4 linked regions of the Schizosaccharomyces pombe genome follow. The protein of the gene in region 1 interacts with the protein of each later gene in a biochemical or structural test. Each region holds a gene or a part of one and is shown on either strand. Other genes may lie near its edges. The genes, in order: sip1, vas2, rho3 and apl4.

The links.
Region 2: the proteins of sip1 (region 1) and vas2 form a complex in vitro, tested with the Schizosaccharomyces pombe proteins (2 studies listed by BioGRID).
Region 3: the proteins of sip1 (region 1) and rho3 form a complex in vitro, tested with the Schizosaccharomyces pombe proteins (one study listed by BioGRID).
Region 4: the proteins of sip1 (region 1) and apl4 form a complex in vitro, tested with the Schizosaccharomyces pombe proteins (2 studies listed by BioGRID).

Annotation. Positions count from the first base shown.
Region 1 is NC_003423.3:1,333,719-1,339,824, reverse strand, and holds the start of sip1 (Pof6-interacting protein Sip1 AP-1 accessory protein), read right to left. Parts: upstream 4,115-6,106; 5' UTR 4,102-4,114; coding exon 3,855-4,101; intron 3,811-3,854; coding exon 3,732-3,810; intron 3,694-3,731; coding exon 3,645-3,693; intron 3,596-3,644; coding exon 143-3,595; intron 103-142; coding exon 1-102. Other genes in the region: SPOM_SPBC27B12.07 (uncharacterized protein), read right to left, coding at 4,663-4,826, 4,894-5,218, 5,330-5,713; gpi13 (pig-O family ethanolamine phosphate transferase), read right to left, coding at 6,003-6,106.
Region 2 is NC_003424.3:1,617,988-1,622,402, reverse strand, and holds vas2 (AP-1 adaptor complex sigma subunit Aps1), read left to right. Parts: upstream 1-2,056; 5' UTR 2,057-2,271; coding exon 2,272-2,434; intron 2,435-2,487; coding exon 2,488-2,618; intron 2,619-2,675; coding exon 2,676-2,870; 3' UTR 2,871-2,920; downstream 2,921-4,415. Other genes in the region: protein meu32, read left to right, coding at 1-157, 208-764; bud32 (serine/threonine protein kinase), read left to right, coding at 1,141-1,746, 1,795-1,905; HOPS complex subunit Vps41, read left to right, coding at 3,659-3,820, 3,871-4,012, 4,054-4,212, 4,276-4,415. UniProt on the Schizosaccharomyces pombe protein: Component of the AP-1 complex which links clathrin to receptors in coated vesicles. Clathrin-associated protein complexes are believed to interact with the cytoplasmic tails of membrane proteins, leading to their selection and concentration.
Region 3 is NC_003424.3:1,038,625-1,044,181, forward strand, and holds rho3 (Rho family GTPase Rho3), read left to right. Parts: upstream 1-2,824; 5' UTR 2,825-2,910; coding exon 2,911-2,974; intron 2,975-3,048; coding exon 3,049-3,121; intron 3,122-3,355; exon of another isoform or gene 3,356-3,445; coding exon 3,446-3,926; 3' UTR 3,927-4,459; downstream 4,460-5,557. Other genes in the region: efm6 (methyltransferase), read right to left, coding at 42-1,025; karyogamy protein Tht2, read left to right, coding at 1,617-2,222; SPOM_SPAC23C4.09C (chaperonin-containing T-complex associated protein), read right to left, coding at 4,596-4,640, 4,758-4,888, 4,972-5,047, 5,096-5,165, 5,377-5,450. UniProt on the Schizosaccharomyces pombe protein: Involved in controlling cell shape and septation. Regulates cell separation by modulating the function of the exocyst complex. Involved in post-Golgi vesicle transport. Involved in driving sexual development in a palmitoylation-dependent manner.
Region 4 is NC_003421.2:2,399,471-2,406,273, forward strand, and holds apl4 (AP-1 adaptor complex gamma subunit Apl4), read left to right. Parts: upstream 1-2,526; 5' UTR 2,527-2,596; coding exon 2,597-5,107; 3' UTR 5,108-5,333; downstream 5,334-6,803. Other genes in the region: acyl-coA-sterol acyltransferase Are2, read right to left, coding at 1-903; protein Cwf18, read right to left, coding at 5,645-6,073. UniProt on the Schizosaccharomyces pombe protein: Adaptins are components of the adaptor complexes which link clathrin to receptors in coated vesicles. Clathrin-associated protein complexes are believed to interact with the cytoplasmic tails of membrane proteins, leading to their selection and concentration.

The sequences.
Region 1 (6,106 bases):
ATCATCTACAAACGCGGAACTAAAAGCAGAGCTGATTTGAGCTTGAAATTGGTCCAAAAGAGAAACATCGTCAAAGTCAGGATCCATAACATTCGAAAAGTCCTAAAAAATTGTTAGCGAGTTTCCTTTAGATTATCCTTACCGTTATGATAGTATCCAAAAGTTCAAAACCCCCCTGCTTCAAGTAAAAGTTGTCTGAAGTAGACAAAACAAAAGCAGCACGGACTAGGTCAGATATCCTAGAAATCAAGTATTTTGCGGGCTCTTTATTTTCGGCCATCACTTCAGAGATACATGTTTTAAGGCATGTAGCTGCATAAAACTGCGTCTGCCAACGGTAATTCTTCTGGAATAATGGATTACTTGCGTTTTCGGAAGTTCCATAAGCCAAAGATACGGTATCTTCATCTAGGTTGTTTTGTATATCTTGTTCGTTGGATCTTTCAGAACTCGAAGTATTTTTTATGCCGACAAGAAAAAGTAAAATATTTACCCATGAGTGTATGTCCGAATCTTTGTAATCGTTTAGCCAGATATACAGTATGTTCTTCAAAAGCTTGTTGTCAGGAGTGGTGTCGAGTGATTGCCAAATAAGCCTATCAAAATGTCGCTTATAACATGATTCCGAGAACTCATGGTTTTGAAGCAATATTTGGTATAAAACTTCAATAGAAATTTCCCTACGTTTAGGTTGCTTTAGGTCAATTATGTTACCACAAAGCTCCCTAATGAAGAAATCAGAATTGGTTTCTAATGGTGTAAATAGATATAGGTGCTGATAACATTTGTAAACGTGTATAATGTTATCTCCCGTATCTCTACTAAGTAAAAGCAATTGGTGAGCTAAATCGAATGCGAAATGCGAAGTAGAAGAATCGGATCGCAAGTTTGGTCCAAGCTCATTTATCAAACAATCCAAGTAATTGGCAAAAAGAGTGGACGGGAAAAATAAACTGTTTCTCTTCTTTAAGAGCTGAACATCAATATCACATTCTGGCAATAGCATATAGCTCAATAAAATGCGTGTCTGGGCAGTTAAAACACTCGGAATGGTCTTTGCGATAGACCCAAGAGAAACGGAAGAAGCACGAATAGAACACTCTCTAACAAGGTCATTCGAATCAGTATTAAAAACTTTGAGCAGCTGATAAGCGGTGATGAGGGTAGTTTGGGGAACTCCGGAACCAACCTTTTTTAATATATGGCCAACGGCTAGAATCAAGACAGCCCTGCAATTTGGATCTCCCGACTCTGCAGCACGTTTAATTATTGTATCCAAAACGGACGTCGGTTTGCTTTGATATAAATATGCCAAAAACGCATAAGATTTCGAAATGTAAGGAATTAACTTCGGATCGTTAACAGCAGTCAAGTTTTCGAGCAATTCTATCATAAGGGATACAACCTTGTCAGGCAAGGTAACTTTTTTGTTATCGAAAGCAGAGAGAAATCCATAAATGGAAAATAAAGTATTTGCTGTTACTGCCTTGTAACGTAAAATATCTCTCCCACTCTTGAGGTTTGTCACAGACGCTACCATAATTTCGAGAGTGCTCTCCATAACCTTCGGAGGTTGATGACAAAACATAGACGCAAATAACTGGATCGCGTTATCAATTAAAGAAGTTAAAGACGGGGGTACGTAAGGAAGTTTTGCAGAGTTTGATCTCGAAATCACTGACAGGGAATCAGAAGATGACTCGCAAATATAACAAGGAAGTATATCATCCATGGTTGTTTGAAATTCTTCCTCTGGCTGAGCGTAAAATCGTGAACCAATTCCAGGTATAACTCTTGGAGAAGTAAAGGCTTTCGCTTGAACTATTTCGTCCGCAGTATCATATCCTTGTAAAGAAGAAAGTTCGGCTATAGTAGACACAGTCGTGGATAGTAATTCTTGATCATCTAAACTCATTCCACTTAACTGAGACAACTCGAAGAAACATTGGAAAATCCGAGCAAGCAAGAGAGAGCGAAGTTCCAAGTGAGAATAATCTGAAGCGGGAATTGGCATGGTAATTTCAAGCCTTTTGGTTAACGAAAAAGCTTTGTAGAATTTAAGGCAGTTATTTAGGAAAATAATGACTCGCTTCCTAACATCAGGTGTGAATAAAATCTTGTTATACTCCAAAAACGAAAGCAAGCACTGTAACGCTTCAAACCGATTAAACATGTCTGCATTTGTCTCCATGAAATTTTGTGAATGTATTTTTGAAGGTACTCTGGAAAGGGCATTCTTCCATAAAATTAGCAATTGGGACAATTGCATTCTAGTAAAAGAAGGACCAAAAGAAACGTAAGCGCTTAATAGTCGCCAACCAGTCTTGATTTGTGCTTGTGCCGCTAATAAATCCAATTTAGATGATGACTTAATCAAATCCAAAGAGAAGTTAAATAACTTTGAAAATATAGAAGAAGCAACATATAGAGGATTTTCTTCGGCGGCAACATAAATCGACATCAACGACAAAGTAAGATTATTGAAAATACCAACATTCAATTTGGGACTTACTTCCTTAGGTTTAGAACGAAGGTGCTTAAATTCCAACTCTAATCTATTAAAAAGAGCAAGCAAAGTGGGCATTAAAGGAGAAGGCATAACGGATAGTAAACAGCGCAGCAACCAGGCTACTTCATTCTTCAATGAATCTTTACCCAAGTATAGAATCTGTAGTGTAGTATCTAGTAACTGACTATATAAAGCAGTAGCCGAACCCTTTGATCGGCTTAATATATCAGCGGTGGAAGCCATCGCAGTCTTAACAGCAATTTCCGAAATCTTCGACTGATCTTTTAAATAAGGCTCTAACACTCTCTTTAAAAGTATTTCAATTCCCTGCAATTCAGAGCTTTGATCGAGAAATCGCCTTCCAATCACATCGCGAAACAAGTATGTACAATGATATTGCTCCAACGAAGACAACCATTCTTTTGAAGTAGAGTGTGATTGGTGTAATAGAATAATATCCACTATAGTAGTGTAGTTGAGAGAAACAAAGGATGGACGTTGCATTAGAAAAAGATGCTTAACGGCAAAAACAAGAACCGCTTTTGAGCTTTCATACTTTGCATGCTTGGAGTGATAATTTTCGACAAGAATCCGTAGGGCGTGACGAAAACTCTCAGTTTCATCAAAACGGCGAGTAGTAGACCGATTTTCTACTTCCTCATTGTTCTCATCATCCGCTGGAGTTGAGGGTACTGCGTTTGCAGCGGCTTCAATCGATTTGTCAGCTTGAGCACTTGCAAGTGCAGAAAAGCATCTTCCTAAAGAAGAATGGAGCAAAGAATTATCAATTGATGATTTTTTAAATAGAAAAGATTTGAACCATTCCAATTCTGAATTACGAAGACGTGAAGAGCCCAGAATGTAGTAAGCGCAACGAAGTGCAGATAAAAGAACATTCGTTGATGAAGTGTTTAAATTTGATTTAATACATTTCCATATTTCTTTTATCAAATCTTCATTCGTAGACTGAATAGATGTTTCAATGCATTTCGACAGTCCATCTAATGCGATTGAGCGAACTCCATATGACAAATTGGTTTTCGAATATTTGAAGAAAAATCTTATAAAAGTCTCTTGCTGATTGATCTATTAAGGTTAATTATAAGTTTATAGAAAATATCCAAAAGAGTAATACCTGATTTCCATATTCTTCCAAGCAAGAAGTCAGAACGGATAAAACGTTACTACCGGTTAGTTGATATTTCAAATATTCTAGACATACATAATCTCTATATAGTCTTTTTTCTCATGAATGCTATCCACGAAGTAAAGTAAAACTCGATGCTGATGATAACCCTCGACTAATACTTGTTAACATATACCATTTTCCATAAATCTCACATACGTCCTTTTAAGAGTGCAATTATACAGTTAGAAAGAAGTTTTCTAGTTGGATAAGCAATAAAATTTCCATATTTTTTGATTAACGAAAGTAGGGGATTTAAATTAGTTTGTAATGAATCCTCGCGAGTATTTTTGTTCAGATTCCTCAATTGTTTTTCGTAATTGAGTAAATCAATATATATGGTCTCCCTCTTATCTACATCAGCTACTTTCGTCAACTTTTCGAGCGGCAATGATGCTAACGACATATGTGGAGCGGCCAAACCAATTTCCCTAGGCTAAATCTATATACATTGAGTTGCGAGGTACTGAAATCTGCAGTCGACATTTACACGATTTACAATAAATTAATAATCAAATAGTCTATAGATAATATATTTATTATTATCATTATAATTAACCACTTTACTTATCAACCACGAACACAAAGATGTTTTAAATTGTAGGAGACTACTAGAATGCAATAGCCATTCCGAGTATCGTTAATTTTAAAATTAAATAAAACAACGAAAAGTCATTTATAGATTTAGTTTTGAAATGGACAAAAATTTTGTCTGAGAAGGCAAAAATCACAGCTCAACGCTAGTATGAGCATCTGCAATGCAAACAATTATTATGCTATTCATAATGGTATTTCCATGTACAATAAGAACAAGGGGTCTCATGATCAGAAGGAGTACTAATAAAACTTAATATTTGCATATTTCCATAAAACCTAATTGAACATTTTCATAAACAAAGAAGAAAACACAAAAAAAAAGAAAGGACAGATATTAATGAAGAGCTCGAAATGCTTTGCTGGCCATAACTCACATATGGGAGAGATTAGTATCAGTATAATCATCGCGCTTGTTATCTAAATTAAATGAACCTAAATTATCAAGCTCATCTTGTTTTTCTTTTTTTCTGCTTCGTACTCCAAGTCCAAATGGAATAACCAGCACTAAAAACCCTGTAAAAGCCATCACCACACCTGAAAAAGAAAAGGAAATTAATAAATGAAATTTCAAATACCTAGTTTGAACTATAAATATACTTACCTGCTGCTTTTCTTATTTGGTCCCATTTCTGCCTCTCATTTTCAGCCCTCAATTTACCTAACGAAACGGCTAATAAATTGTGTAGTTCAACAATTCTTGCACTCAATTGCTGGACTTCATTCTTTGTATCATTTTTCCGATTTTCAAACTCCATTTTGCTTTCGGTATTAAGCTTGTTTAACTGCTCGTGAACCAATTGTTCCAAACTTTCTACTTCCCTTTGGTTTGAAAACAAGCCTGAACGTAACGAACTGATTTGATCTTTTCTCATATTTATTTTCTCTGAGCGAAGCTCCGACAAAGCTGTACGAAACAAATAGGAGCACTATACAAGTTAGCTATGACAGTTCATTTGAAAGCAAAAAAAACCGTCAATCTATAATTAAAGATAAATTTAAAGACGGAAGGATTCTGTAGCTTAATAAATCATACGTACATTTTCAAAATCAGCTTCAGACAGGTAATTGAGATGACTATGTCGCAGCATATCAGTAACAAACATATTCGTGACTTCGAGAAGACCCTCGGCCTCTTTTTCTGTATATCCTTTATCCATTAAAGTTTTCAAAAATGTAAATGTGTTGAAGTGATATCCTTCAAGGTCTCTGAAAGGACGATTTTCGTGATTGGCATTTACTACTGAAAGACCCTTTTCCATTTCACCTGCATCTGTCCCTTCTGATGCATAAAATCGAATTTGCTTCGTTAAGGATAAAGAATAAGGAATTAAACGAAAAGTATTGATACTATGCACTTTAATCCCATGCAAGGTAATTCGGGATCGATTAACATCTATAGCTTTTCGTAGCAAAGAGAACATTTTGTCAAGCTACCAAATTTTGATTATAAATTAAGCAACTTATTAACAGACATAATTAATTTTTGTTAAAAATTGGGTACGATGATTGTGGTGAATGTTAAATGTACATATCAGAAGGCGTAAAGGAGTAGTATGGGTGTACCCATAGAAAATAATAATGATGAAAATGCATTGATAAGTGGTTTTGATTATTTCCTTATAAGGTTTAAAATGTTAAAGGATATAAAAGAAAATATTTCTACAATTCTAATTATACGTCAAATTGAACGAGGGCAGTGAAGCTTTATTGTTATTCAGCATCTTCAGGAAATTTGACAACAGAACTTCCGAAGCATTGGATCAGGACAAAGAGCTGATGAGTAACAAGTAATATTCCACTTAGCATAAACCGAG
Region 2 (4,415 bases), on another chromosome or scaffold:
ATACAGTGGAAAGAAGAATTCGAGATATTTAATAATGAAACAAAAAAATCTCTACCTAAACAAACGATACACGTACACGATATTTCTGGATCAGCCATGATCGTGTTGATAGGAGAGTCCCAAGTTAAATCCGCTCTCAGTTGGAACAATGAAACAAGTATGTAAAGATTTCTATTCAGGTATGTACCTACTCACCAAAATTTTTAGTTTTGTTGATTCATAATGCAATTGCCTACCGAACCAATACCGGAATGCTGGAATTGTCAATTAAAGATGCAATAATTCAAACACTTCAGTCATTTGATGGTAAAGTTTTGAAACTATTAAATTTTTCAATCAAAAGAAAAGAACTTATTAAGATAAATGCTTATAGATTGAGCACCCTAGAGGCTCTTGAAAAAATAGCCAGCCAATCTGGAGAAGCTTTTGGGCAGGTTGGCGTTTTAATAATGCAAAGTAAAATTAAAGATTTAACAAAAGAAGGGGGATTAGTTTATGGCAATGATTTGACAGGTTTGAGATTTGCAGATTTAATAAGCATAATTGTCGATGAAACTGGAAGTGTTAAAAACCCAAAATTTAGTCAAAAGCTTTTGGAAGAAATTACAAATATAGCTCCTACGGAGTTAAGTGTATTGAATGAAGAACAAGCAATGCATCTAGAAAACGTCTTCCTGTATAGACACTATCGAGTTTGTGTTGGTTTTCTGAACAAACAAATTTACGTGTTTTCAAGTGATGAACCCTTAAAATCATACATTTAATTATTAAATTAAATACTCTTAAGTTATTAACATTAACATTAAATCAGCATATTGATTCTGTAAAACCAGACTTGATTTGATATGCAGCAGACACTAATAAACTGAATTAAAAAAAAAAACGAACATATAAGGCTATGATATTAAATGAAGTGTCAACTTTATGCTGTAATTTTTCTTGGATAACTCAATTAATTTTTGTATTACATTTAAATCGTGGGTAAATAACAGAAATTAATCAATTTAAGTCTAAAAAATATTTATTAGTATTTGACAGTTCTTACGATAATTTTCTAAAGACAGTTTAAATTTGTGACATTTTCGGATCTCTAACGCATATTATCATTCCAAATCCCATCTTCATTTACATAACTCTAAAATGTCAGAAAAACCTGACCTTAGGCAAAGATGTTCTGATATATATCGTGAAATAAAGGAAAAGAAATTAACTGTGGTAAAGCAAGGTGCAGAAGCAATCACGATAAAAACCGAGTTTTATCCAGGTGAGGTTTGTCTTTTGAAGTGCCGACCTGCGAAACGATGGAGACATCCTATTTTAGATCAGAAATTATCAAGAAAACGCTGCTTAGTGGAAGCAAGACTTTTAGCAAAATGTCATTACGTTGGAATAAAATGTCCCATGCTGTACTTTATAGATGCCAATCGTGGTCAAATATATATGGAATGGATTGATGGACCTTGTGTACGAGATTATATTCGAGAGATCTGCGAATGTGAGATTGAAAAAAAACTTATTCCTTTAATGAAGCGAATAGGATCAGAAGTTGCGAAGATGCATAAGAATGATATCGTTCATGGAGATTTGACAACTAGTAATATGATGCTGGAGTCTCACAACAATCCGGTCCCAATTTTTATTGATTTCGGTTTAGGAAGCGTTTCCGAATCTGAGGAAGATAAAGCTGTGGATATTTACGTCCTAGAGAGAGCTTTATCAAGTACTTTACCAGAAAGCGAATCTTTGGTATGTTAACTATTAGACTTAAAGCACTTAAATTCTAACTGTTTGAAGTTTCATCATGTTTTAGACTCTTATGCCCAAAGTTGGAAACAATCTAAGGCAACACTTCGAAGATTTGAAGAAGTACGAATGCGTGGCCGTAAACGTACCATGATAGGATGATGTTCTAAATACTAGTCTCTAGAAAATTTTTTATAAAAAATCTTTCATTTATTGTTTAGTCTTTATGGTATCCTTCATATGGTTTAATTAGTCTATGGACCTTTTGCCGATGCCCTATGTATTTAGTTGCTTTAGAGTTGGCACACGCACTACCTAACTACCGCTATCAACACCAAGCAATAGTGAGCGTTAAGTCAATCTTGGCAGTCAACGTTAGATAACTGTTTTGTTTCTGATTATTTATTACCTTTTTTTTGTAACCTTTATGAGCTTTCGTCCATAGCGGTTACGAATTGAAACATCGTTTACCTTATAGTGTCAATCCCCTTTAAAGCAGCGTATAAGCATTTAATAAGCTTTTATAAGATGTCTATAAAGTTCTTTCTACTCGTAAGCCGCCAGGGAAAGGTGCGTTTAGCTAAATGGTTCAATACTTTGTCAATCAAGGAGAGAGCCAAAATAATCCGTGATGTTTCTTCACTGGTGATTACACGAAAACCAAAAATGTGCAATTTTGTTGAATATAAAGGTAAAAAAATTGGTATTTTTATTCAAAATATGAATTAACTGTATTTGTCTTAGGCGAAAAAATTGTTTACCGACGATATGCTTCCTTGTTTTTTGTTTGTGGAATTGAACAGGATGATAATGAGTTAATTATATTAGAAGTCATCCATAAGTTTGTTGAATGCTTAGACAAATACTTTGGTAATGTACGGCTTTCCCCCTGATTTGATTGAATTTGAATTGTACTTTTATTAACCGAGTAGGTTTGTGAGCTTGACCTCATTTTTAATTTCGAAAAAGCATATTACGTTATGGAGGAATTACTACTCGCAGGAGAGTTACAGGAATCTAGCAAAACAAATGTTCTTTCTGCAGTTCTAGCTGGTGATGCAGAATCGGAAGCTGATGCCCAGCAAGATAGCCTCCAAAAACTTGTGGGCAGCGTGAAGAAGCGTTAAAAATGTAACCGGTAATTGATTTCACTTTCTGTGATGAACGGGTTAAAAAAAATAGCTCTCTTCCATTTTATTACCGATTTCACTTTTCATTACAATTGTGTGTGTGACTGACATAGACCTAATTTGCATGTATCCATACACCGAAGTTTATCTTGTATCACGTTGATCATTTCGCAATAATCTGAAATGTCGTCGTTAATAACGCTTTACGACATTAAAAATCTTATGTTTTTTTTAATCATTTTCACATTGGTTTTAACAAACTGTGTTCATAGATGATATTCAGTATTGATATAAACCATCGACACTGTCATTCATGTCTCCCGTTTTACATGTTCATTATAACACTGCTGTAGTTTTGAATATTTACATTTTGCAATACCAAATAGCTAATAGTCATCGTTCACCCAGCTTTATTATAAAAGTTTAAATATATGGTCATCTACTACCGTAAATTAAAATGTACATTTGCTTGAAATTTTCCTTAATTTGATCAAATTTGAAAGAATTGTATTTTATTTGTTAATAAATCGTCTAATATTTGTATATCTTACTCACTCGTCCATAGTCATTCATACATTCATGTAGGCATTTTGTTATGTCATTGCAATTCCACTACTCATAAAACTAACACCTACTATATATTGTCACAGTTATTTTATCTACGTTTGTTACTCGAGTTCTCAAAATTGGTATTATTATAGTAAACATATTACAGTTCCAGTTTGAAGATTTTCACTACTACTAAGGCTAACTAGTTTTACCATTTACACCACAAAATTTTATGCATGTCTGTCGATGAGAGCAATTCGGACAGTGAAATTGATTCGATCAGCTCGTCTGATGAAGATGAAGAGCCTAAACTGATTTATGAAAGAATTACTGAAAAATTTCAAGGATGCTTTATGAACGACACCATATCTGCTTGTGCAATCTCTAAGGAACATTTTGTAAGCATCGTCATCTGGTTTTATTCATATAATTTAACATTTGTGTATAGTTTTTTGGTTCGCATAATGGTGCAATTTACATTTATCAGAAAAATGGTATTTTATTACGAAAAATGATACTGCACTCAGCATCTGTAGTAGATCTTTCTGTGGACCTTGAAAGCGAAAATTTAGCTTCATGTTCTATGGATGGTAAGTTAATATTGTTCTTAATTAGTACTGATCTTTATTAGGAAAAATGATCATTTCTAATATTACTACTCGCGAAACTACTGTTCATGATTTCAAGCGGCCTTTATTGAGCGTCGCAATTGATCCATACTACAGTACTAGATCATCCCGTCAGGTTCTTTCAGGAGGACGAGCTGGAAAAGTTGTACTTTCTGAAAAAGGTATGCTTTTGGATAGGAGCGTGCGCCCTTATTTTACTCTTTTACGTCTAACGATAAATTTAGGGTGGTTAGGAAATAAAGACACCGTGCTGCAAGCTGATTGTGGAGCAGTTTATAAAATATCGTGGTACACAACATATATTGCTTGGGCTTCTGACCTGGGTATTACAGTTTATAGCACTGAGTTCGGAAAGGTTTTAGGC
Region 3 (5,557 bases), on another chromosome or scaffold:
AACGCATCCTAAGAGAAAAATGAAAATGATGCAAAGTAAATTTATTTTTTCTGTAAAATGTAAATAGTGATTGGACCACGTTCTTCGTAAACAAGATCCAACCATCCCAATATATTGCTCATAAAAGTTTTTTCATTGTCATGTCTTTTTTTGTACGCAATATATAACTTTGTGTTCTTATCCATCAATTCCTGAAGACTTGCCTCCAAATCAGAAAAGCTAGATTCATTGTACATGACATCTGACATAACAATATAATCCCAATGACGCCGAAATTTTCGAGGAATGTCATGTCCCCATACTAAAATATCAGAAGTTATGTTGTTGCTCATTGCAGACTTATTCTTTTCAACATTTTTTTCCATAAATTCAATCGCATCTTCTGTATCGGTCATTGACACAAGAGCACGTGGATATTTGCTAGCAATACTTATACCAACAATTCCACATCCGGAGCCTAGTTCTAAAACATTGATGTCTTTTCTATTGGAAAAGCTATAATGCCAATCATCAGAAAGAATCTTTTTTGAGAAAACTACGCCGGCATCCCACAAGTGCTTAGCAATACTGTTACCCATCTGTTCGAGAAACCAGAGACCATCGTTTGGTGACTTTTTTTCTGGGCCTTGGATATACCGCCATACCATATTAGGTAAAGTAGATTTCGGTGAAAAAGCTTCACTCCAAACTGGTAATACAGTATCGGCATTTATGTGTATAGAATCAACGATTGAATTCTGATTTTCTAAATGCAGCGTCAATTGAATTTGCTGGTGACTAGCAGGAAAATACAAAGTCGTTTCAGCCGCGTGACCATTCCCTATCCATGAAACACATTGCTTAGAAATTGTGATACGACTGTGAGATTGTTGTCTATCCAATGCTTCAACCCTTACGGTTGCATCTTGCGGATATGAAACTTCGCCCAGATCAGAAGTTATCGTAAAAACCACTCGTAAAGCGTATTTAAAGGATTCTTCGAGCTTTTCTTGGAGTCTTAAAATTCTAATATAATAGAAAGTCATTCAAGCGTCCAAATACTTTAAAAATCCTTGGAAAAATAAAGAAAAGGGGGTCTTACAGAAATTTTTTTAATGATCTATTAACGTTCAGTTTCCCTTTAAACCACATTCACCAATCAATGAAATAAACCACTAGCAATGAAATACAAGTTGGTTGAAAAATTTTTTTTTTCGCAATTTGAAAAACTAAAATTCTCTGAAATATCAGATTATCGCCGCAATATGAGAGAGGGTAAACTGATCGTAAAAGCAAAACAATTGAACTAAGTTGTTAATTCATGCAACCCGGTAGCAATCATCATGAAAATAATCTCTGAATTGTTGTAAGAAAAACGCATGGTAGCAAACTTAAGTCGCAAGCAGAGCAACGAGTCATAACTGATAATACGAATATTCACATAAGGAAATGAACTTTATAAACACTCAATTACAAATTTGAGGGCATAAGCAATTGCACTAACACTTTTTTACATGTTGGTTTATTATGTGTTTTGCTGACTTTCCTTTTGTTTGTTACTTTTTTGTTGTTACCAGCGCACCTAAACGAGAAAACGTGTATTGATCCCTTCACATTTTAACCTCACAATACAGAAAATGGAGAATCAGGTGTCCAGTTTTCTAATTGATTCTCCAATGGAATGGAAGACTTATATGAAAAGCTTGAGTGATGATAATCCCAGCTTTGGGGACGTAACAGTTAATTTGACGAAAATTAGCGTATCTTCAAAAAATGCAAAAAGCTACGCAGAAGAAATGTATAATTATGTAACTCAAGAGATGGTATTTATCAGTGAACGTAGTAGACTATTATTGCGCGCAAAAAGAAGGTTGTACAAAAATCAATCACTTATGAAAAAAACGTCTGTGTCAACCTCGAACACAGTAAAGATGGTATTTATGTCACTAGCAAAGCAAATTGAACAAATGCTCAAATTCTGTATGATGGTTTACAGCAAATTGTGCGAGGCGTTTGAAACAACGTTAAAGGTAGCGAAGGAGTTTCAAATTTGCGATTCTTCTCAAGAATGGTTTTTCCAATTCCAATTGGGTTATCATAGAAAACAGATGGAATTACAGATGCTTTCTTTTGTAGCCGAATGGCTTGTTTTAACTCAACATTATACAGATGCTCTGAATGACTCGGCAAAAACACTTTACGACATAATGGAAAGTAGCCATAAAGCGGCACAAAAAGTTTAAAAGCATATTCAAATGTCAAACAAAATTTTCTTCTTTTAAAGGTGCTATTCAATTCATGATTCCAACAGTTGCTGTGCAAATTAAACTATTATCATGAAACAAACCACGGTAAAGTTGGTTGTACTATTGTGTGACTCCTTTTTCAAACTCATCAAAGTACGATTTTCAATTAAATTTTAAACTTTCAATTGAAAGGGTTGCCTCAAAATTGACAAGCCCTTGGTCAACTTTCACTAACTGGTGCTGTTGATTTTCTTCCTATTTAGCAATCACGTTATATATACCGTGTATTTCATTTTGAGACTGAGAGTAGACTTCCCCAATATATTTTAGTAAAACTATCCTTCGAAGGTTTTGTTCATCAATGAATTAATGCTTTACTCATCAAAATATATTATGAAACAATCCTACTTGCGAAGTTCATTCTGTATTACGTATTTCCGTATCTCTTTTAATAAACTGGTTCGCATCGCCTTAATTATTCTAAATTTGATTGTTACCTGAAATGTAGAAGCCAATCTACAGCGCACAAGGACATGTATGTCCTTCGCTAAGCAGTAAGCTGGGGTCTTGCGTAGGCTTTAGCTCATGGTACAAAATTCGTACCTAAACCAAACACCTCTAATCCTTTATTATACAGAAACCATTGAAAAACCCATAGAAAGCTTGATTGAAGCTCATTGAAAGTATGTCAAGCTGTTTCGGAAGTAAAAAGAAGCCTATTTATCGGAAAATCGTAATTCTTGGTGATGGTAAGGATCTTGGTGAAAATTTTGTTTTTTCTTTCGTGATTTTCGCAGCTAAGCATTCTAACCGTAAATTATAGGTGCTGCTGGTAAAACCAGTTTGTTAAATGTATTTACTAAGGGTTATTTCCCTCAGGTATACGAGCCTACTATGTAAGTATCATTAATAGTGCAAAGCTGTAAACGGCGGAGCGGAAATGAGGTTACCGTCTGCAATATCAAGTATAACTCAATATGAAGCATCTTTTTTTGCAAACCTTTTATCTAACGGGTTAATTTGTGGAAATTTGTTTCATTTCTGAGGAAAACGAGAATGCCCGAGTGTGCTCTCCATACAGTCACACTCGTACAATTTCTCATGACCAAACGTCAAATTGCTTTTACTATGCTTGACCTGTTAAGGGTTTTCACCACTTCTTTACATGATTATCTTCTTGTACTTAAAAACTTTTTCCGTTATCTAACACCTAAAAATAGATTTGAAAACTACATTCATGATATCTTTGTCGATGGAAACAGTATAGAACTGTCTCTATGGGATACAGCTGGTCAAGAAGAGTATGATCAACTGCGTTCGTTATCATATTCAGATACACATGTTATTATGATCTGCTTTGCCGTGGATTCACGAGACTCATTAGAAAATGTAATCACAAAATGGCTTCCGGAAGTCTCTAGTAATTGCCCTGGTGTTAAATTGGTTCTTGTTGCTCTAAAATGTGATTTACGTGGAGCTGATGAGGAGCAAGTTGATCACAGTAAAATTATTGATTACGAGGAAGGACTGGCAGCGGCAAAAAAAATCAACGCTGTACGATATTTAGAATGCAGCGCTAAATTAAATCGTGGCGTAAATGAAGCTTTCACGGAAGCTGCACGCGTTGCCCTTGCCGCGCAACCAAGAGGTACAAAGGATGGTGCTGATGAATCCCATGGTACCGGATGTATCATTGCTTGAAAGCACTTTCTTTTGAAAGCGCCTAAAAGTCTTATTTCTAATGTTCGAAGTTTATTATTGTATATGACGTTAGTGTGGGTGTTGCGGTGGCCTTTGAATAGCGTTAACCTTTTTTCAATGGTTTGTACTTTTGACTTTTATCCCCTTTGCTGTTCTCAAGGTTTTAAATTTGACACTTGGGGATTCTGTCCGTTTCCAATGAGTTTATCTCCTTATTTCAGGTGTATTGTCTATCTTTCTTACCTTCCTACTTGAAACAGCAGGTATTTGTACAATCGTGAAAAAGAGTGTTTGCAGTGAACCTTACTTTCCTTCTTTTTTGAAACTTGTACACTTTGAGTTGTTCAATTCTCCTTCTGTTCGTGTAATCGTTGAGTTGCTAATCTAATCAATTAATCTACCCCTTTTCTTTTACGATAAGCATACTGTTGAGCAATAAGGATTAGTCTTTCGGTTGTAAGACATGGGTCTGAGTCAAATCCTACCGTTTTAGAAAGCACCTTAAATATTTATGTAATATGAAGTGTTACCCCTAAATATCGTAATTGAAGTTAAAAATTGTAAAAATTTAGACTACCCAATATGTTGTATTCGTGCATCCGTGCAACCCTAATTCAATTTGATCCATTTGAAAGTAAAACAAAATTTATTATGTCTTTATCCTTTAAATTAAAGATCCCAGTCATCCTCATCGTCTTGAACACGTCGATTGATCTAATTAAACAGTTAAACTCTGGACCATGTAATATAAACAGATGTTTTTTTTTGATATTTCTCTCCTCAGATGAATTTGAAATAAAAAAGGAGAGAAGGAATTAGTAAGGCACTTACCACAATTTTTGTTTCATTACGTTTGGAGACCTCACCAGAAATTTTTTCTAACAATTCGATAAGTTCGGGCTCTGAGATTTTATGAGATATCTGGCCCGTTTTGGCCATACGTAACAGGAGCTCTTCAACAGCTACACAAATTAGACACATGTTTACATTATTCGTAAACAGATATTAAATTATTATCCGCCGCAGAAAATGAAATCACACTTACCTTCAGCACGATCTTTTCGTACCAACGCTATACGACGAAGTCTGTCTCTTGCTGGGTGTTCCAAAATTTGAGAAAGCTTATGAAATTGTTAGTCGGATATGGACCATACACATCATAAACATACTAGATTTTGTCGCATTTCATCTTGTACCTCCTGTTGTTGCTGATTGCTTGATGGACCTGAAGCAATATTACTAGATTTGTTAATTCTTGTAAAAAAAATGGAGTATATAAATAAATTAGTTTCTAAATTCACTATCGGATTTCCTTTGTGTAATTTTAAAATGATTCATTAAATCTCGTCATTTACCAACATAATCCTTCAAGTGAATTCTAATAAAAAATTATAACTTTCAGTCGTAGAGTTTTGAAGTTTATATGCAAGTTTCGAAACTAAGAACATACCTAGGGGCAGAACCATGTTCAGCTTGAAGTTGTGCTAAACGAGCTTGTCTTATAGCTTGCAATTCTTCATCCATTATGAATAAGCCTAATTATTAAGCAAGAACTGATGCACAAATGTTTTTTAATTGAGACTTGTGTAATGCTCAAATTTGTGGTGTTGCAAAGGATTAACGATAGATTT
Region 4 (6,803 bases), on another chromosome or scaffold:
AGCTTCAATAATGGTTCGAATGGCTTTAGCAAGTACAGGAACCATGAAATGATCAGAAATAATGACCAAAAGAAAGATACAACCAAACGTTCCCAAAGCGCATTCAATCAAATAATGAATTCGCACATGGGCGGTTCTTGGGTAGTATAATTGATAACATAAGCTGGGCATGAAAAGGAAATCCAAAGCATTTGGTATGGTTAAATTTTCCGGATAAGTATTACCATGATGGTTGAGACAATGTTCATAAAACTCAACTGAGGATCGTTCATCATCATCAAGATCGGTTTTTTTTGACTGAAGCTTATTTAACGAATGATAACAATAAGAATACCAACCGTTGACAACGTTATAGGAATGAAGCTTCATAAGGATTACCATAGAATGAAGAATAAACATAGCACGATGCGTCCAGGACCAGTTGCTAAGACAGCAGCGTAAAACACAATGGCTTAAAAAAAGTAAAATAAGAATGGAATAGAGGTAAACGCCTAAACCATACCACCGCAGATATCCCAAAGCAAAAATCTTTTGGAAAGGAAAAGCAAGTAGAAACATTGAAGACATAGCAAGGTCTGCCTTTGCCAGATCTAACAAATTAGACTGAAAGTATTTAAAAATAGTGCCAACAACTGGTCTTCCAGTCAATTCGAAATTTTCTAAAAAGCTCATGAAAATCATAATAGAGACAGCAACCCAAAATAACACAAAAAATCCAGTAAAGTCTACCGCATTACGTTGATAATTACGAGCAAAAATCGAGGGAGTAGGAGATAATTCCAGAGGTCGGTAAGCGGCCCTAGACCTTCGAAGGTCAATTTTTGAGGTTTCAGAAACACCTTTGAACGTCTGTTCCAAGTTGACATCCGATGGTTTGGATTTAGCGGGTGTTGCAGCAATCATCTTTAAATAACCAGCAATTAAAGCAACTAAGTGAATATATAACAAAAAAGATAAATATATAAAGAAAAAGATAAAACAAAAAAATAACGTAAAATCAGCAGCTACGTATCGCGAACAGTATCAAAGAAATTGAAAAAGAAGCGGATATGAACGTAGGAAGATTAAATTTATTTTTTGCTTCGCTTCTAAATAAAAAATTGAGGAATGAAAGCAAGAAACTTAGAAATGTAATCTATTGATGGAAGTTCCAACTTGGAATTTCAAGATGACAGAACTGGTATGACGAAAACTCCACAGTCGTGATTCCAAAAATAAAAATTCTATGCCAAATGTTCCACTATAGAATGGAAGTAAATAAAAAGCTCGAACTCCTAAGCAATTCACGTTCTATGCGATTTATGTAAGGAAAAGCCAAGTCTCCAGTTTCAAAATGAGCAAAGGAGTTGATAAGTTAGAATTGCGAGCTAAGACGATGAACCACCTGATCTCAGCAATATCTGCAATACTACACCACGTTATGTAAAATTTCGTTACGTATCACTATATATCACATGTCCTATTCATTTATCCGCTATATGTGATACGACATTGGCACTTGCTTATTGTAGCTTATTACCAAATGACTGACAGGTACAAACAAAAAAGAATGCTCAATCGAACCTTTTTCCCTTAGTTTACATATTATGAGCATTTCAATAATAATTTACAATAACACCTTAATACCCGATTTTCGCGTTACCTGCATATCGCAATATAGTAGTGCACAAATACAACTCACTGTGATTTAACGTGCCATTAAAACTGGTTACAAACTGCATAGTTAAGAAGCAAAGCCACATAGCGTGGTCAAGAACGAATAGAGAAACATAAATTCCAGATATTGCCCATCAATTAACAACTCCATATAGCAAATTCGATAGGATAATTCAAAAATTACACAGATAACCAAAGGAAGCTAGGTATTCTTTTAATTTGTGCAGTATTGGTGAATGCATCAGTTTTGAGCGTCGTTTAAAGCTGCATCCTATTTTGTTAAGTGAAATTGATTTGATTTTCATTGTTTTATATATTCTGTGTTTAGATTGCGTTTTTCTGTTTGCTTTCAATACATCTCATAGAAATGCAAGTTAATATTTACTGGAATCAATTATAGTAGGAACGTAAAATATCTCAGTGAATATTGGTACGGATGGAAAGATAACTTTAGTATTGCACATGGATTTTATTAAGAACCTCTAATAAGGGAATGTGTATTAAACGTAATATGATTACTGAAAAGCACAAAAACCATACCTAAAAAATATTCAACTCTTAGCCATAGTACACCTTCTTAAATGTACTTGCAATAAGTGGTAACATAATATTAAGTTAATCAATATAAATGGTATTTACATCTGCTTAATAAAAACTAGGAATTATAAAAAAAGACACTTCAGCTGACTTAACGTAACACAGCAGCAACAAAACAAATTAAAATTTATTTTATTTAAAGCATATTTTTTAGTATTCATTATTGATAGATTGACGAAAGAGTCGCAACGTTAAATTCGTTTTAAAGAAATTTACCGTGCAATACCCTACCGCATGTACAAGCAACAGCCAAGTAATGCAAACAACACATCCAAAGAACCTGCATCTTACTTGTTCGGGAGTGGAAAGAGGTTTCACCAATTCCCCAAAGACGCATCCAAAGATGTCAAGTTTAAAATCTTTTATAAAGGCTGTTCGGGCATCCAAAACGACTGCTGAGGAGCACACAACGATTCTCAAAGAGTCGGCTCAAATCAGAAAAAACATTCGTCAAGGTTCTAATGACATGCGTATGCGCAGAAAAAATGTTGCCAAGCTGCTATATTTATTTCTACTCGGTGAGCCGACACACTTTGGTCAGATTGAATGTTTAAAATTGTTGTCGAGTTCGCGATTCATGGATAAACGTTTGGGATACCTAGCAGCTATGCTTCTGTTAGACGAGAACCAGGAAGTTTTGACGTTATTGACAAATTCTCTTCAAAATGACTTGAAATCTAGAGACAAATTTATTGTGGGGTTGGCATTATCTGCGTTTGGTAATGTCGCTGGCCCTGAGCTTGCAAGGGATTTGTCAAACGACATAGCCGAACTTTGCTCTAACCATCATAATTATATATCAAAGAAGGCTGTTCTCTGTGCACTTAGAGTAATTCAAAAAGAACCGGATTTGGAAAGTTTATATATTGAGAAAACCGATGAATTGTTACATTCAAAAAGTCATGGTGTTTTAATGGCTGCTCTTGCTTTTGCCATCAGTGCTTGCAAAATAAATCCGTCGCTAATATCCCGATTTGAAAGTCAAGCTGACGATTTGATTTATCGTATTCGTCAATTGTCCACTAGTACTTACTCCTCTGAGCATAACATTGGCAATATATCTGATCCGTTTTTGCAAGTTAAAATCCTTCAGTTTTTGTCAATACTTGGTCAAAATAACCCTAAAATTTACGACAAAATGAGTGATCTTTTAGCTCAAGTCTGTACTAACACTGATTCCTCTAGAAATGCAGGTAATGCTATTCTTTATCAAGCTGTGCGTACCATCCTTGATCTTAATTCTGACAGTAGCCTTCGAGTTTTGGGGGTCAATATTTTAGCAAAGTTTTTAGGTAATCGTGACAATAACACTCGTTATGTTGCTCTTAATATGCTGAAACTCGTTGTAAATAGTGAAGAAAATGCAGTTCAGCGTCACCGATCAACTATCCTTGCTTGTCTTAATGATGTCGACAGTTCTATTCAATCTCGTGCGCTTGAACTTTCTACATTTCTCGTTAATGAGGCGAACGTTCGTTTCATGGTGCGTGAGCTTTTATCATTTCTTGATAACGTTTCTGATGAATTACGTGGATCCACTGCTCAATATATTACAGAAGTCACAAATGCTTTTGCTCCCAATAAGCGATGGCATTTCGATACCCTTCTACGAGTCTTCAAATCTGCTGGCAACTTTGTCAGTGAATCGACTCTTTCAACGTTTTTACGACTCATAGCTAGTGCTCCTGAACTTCATGAATATGCTGTGGTAAAGTTGTACGCTGCTTTAAAGGAAGATGTATCTCAGGAAGCTTTAACTCTTTCTGCTTTTTGGGTAATTGGAGAATATGGTCAGATGCTTCTTTCACCAACAATGAATTTTGATGATGATCAAACCCTTCCTCATTCTGTTTCAGAATCTGATATTGTGGACATTATTGAGGAAGTATTTAATAGCGTTGAAGCATCTAGGTACATAATTGTTCAATATGGTCTTTTCGCTCTCACGAAGTTAAGTGCTCGTCTAGGTTCTTCTTCTACTGCTTCTCGTATTGACAAGATAATTTATTCCTATAAGAGAAACAAGAACACCGAGGTGCAACAAAGATCTGTCGAGTTCCACCTTATATTAAATGACTCCAAATTGAGCAAGACAATTCTAGAACCAACTCCCGCTCCTCTGCCTCCTCCTAGGACCACGCCTTATCAAAATGCGGAGCAAAAGCTAAAGGCTAACAAACACGTAGAAAAACGTGTTCAGGAAAGCAACGAATTGCTAGACCTCATTGGGTTAACTACCCCTTCTGTTGCTGAGCCCTTAGAAACACCAGTGGATGAAATGACTCAAAGCCCTCAATCCAGCTTAAGCCGCGCTCCTTCTACTTCCAAAAAGAGTCATTTTGAAGATATCCTTGGTTTATTTGCTTCTCCGGCGCCTTCAGCTCAACCGGTTGACAGCTTGGCAAGCAGCTTTGCTTCTTTGGACTTTAATGCTTCAGCCAGCCAACCATCAAACAACTTGTCTTTGCTTTCTTCCATACCATCAACTTCCAAATCATACCCTCCTATTGTTGTATTTGATAAACACGATGTGACGTTAACTTTGGTGCCATCCAAAGAAGAAAGTACCAAAACAGCCGTCATTGAAGCTAAATTTAAAAATAAAAATCCAATGACTAGGGTTGAGAAAATACATCTAGAAGTGGCAGTTCCCAAATCACAGAAACTGAAAATTCAGCCCTTGAGGACTACAAGTATGGAGCCTGGTGGAGAAACTTCTCAAACCCTGCGGGTTCATGGGCCATCGGGTTCTCAAGTCAAACTGCGTCTACGTATCTCTGTGGTCCGACAAGGTGGATCAAATACTCTCGATCAGGTAGATTTTGGAAAGTTGCCATCTGACCTTTTACAATAGTATCCGAAGTATGGACAATGCCATTTAAAATATAACGCTCGAGCTATCAAAGAAGATTTCTGACATGATCCATGCTACACTTTTTGATGGGTCTAGTCAGTTTTACGAGAAAATGTTCGTAGAATAGTGAATAATGAGGTAATAGAAAATGAAAGCTCTAATTGTTTTTATGAAAGAAAATAGGTTTTTTTTTATATAATTTTAGCAATTTTCTCGATATGGAATCATGGTATACTTATTGGATAAGTTCACTTATGTAATTTTCAAATTGAGACTTGCTCATTCTTTATTGTATATCATTGAACGGAAATTTGACCTTCCAAACCCTTCATTAAGAAGTGGTCGGATTTAGAATTAAAGCTGTAATATTATTTTAATAGAAGTGCATACCTCCAATACAATCGCAACTAGAAAAGTATAAAATGTAAAATCCTAAACTTATTTCCTTTAACAATTGATCAATGCAATAATTAAGCCTATGAATTATATATTAACTAACAGAGAGTAAATCCAACATTAGAAAGCATTAGTCTTGCTTTAAGCTTTTTCAGTACTATGCGCACGTTCAGAAATTAACTGTTGTATATAAAATGCTATTGCATTTTGATTTTGTGTTTCCAGAGACCGCATTCGCTCTTTTAAATCTCTTTCTAAATCCCATGTAGGCTTTTTAGGTCGCAAAGTTACCAAATCTAGTTCTTCAACAGGAACAGAACTTTGTTCTTCAATTTTTCTCTTAGTCTTTTCTTCAATCTCCTTCGATAATGCTTCAACTGATTCAATCATGTTTGGCGGTTCCACGAATCCCATTTTAGGTGCCTGCACTTCTGGATCATAATTTCGATGCTCAATTACATTTTTTTGAACCTCTTGAGAATCGCGAGTTTTATTCTCTAACTGCTTTATTTTCCTCAATTCCGCTAATCTCTGTTTTCTGGACTCTGCTACCTCATCTAATGAAGACATTTTTTGTTCCAATACAAAAACACAAAATTCGGAAAAACCACACTATAAAACCAGAATGAATGTAGTAAGATACTTTTTTTGTAGTAAGTAATAAGATTAATATCGAGAGATGTTAAAATTCCTAGAATTAACTAGAGTTTGACAATGCACAATAATTCCAGTTCCTAATCAGCAGTATCAAAAAACAAAAACAAAAATTGAGTGTGTAATTTTATATTAACCTAATAGCGACGAACTACCAGATCGTTTTACTTTCTAGTTATTTTTGATAAATGCAGAATATGTATATGAATATTGAGAAGTTAGGAAAATGCAAACCAAGCTCGTTGTTGTCATCTACGCAGTTTGGTATCTGTTTTACGGATACGTAAAACTGCAGTGAGTTTTCCTTGTGACATATTATATTGCAATATGCAGGTAATATAAACAGTAACGTACAATAGTATTATACCATATATGCTGTATTGTTACCTATCACTAATATAGCTTATAACTAAACTTCGTTCCTCAGTTCAGCTAAAGCTCTATTTTTTTGTTTCTAAATAGTTGCTATTCACGGGAATCCATGCATGTAGAAGGATACTTACCCCTAATTATCAATAAACGAATCTTAAAAGATATGTCAGCATATGACATATAATGAGGCGTAATGTAGTACATTATGGCGTAGTGTAATCGTTGATAATTTTTTATTTTTAACGTGTTGTCGCTGAAAATCGATAGTAAAACT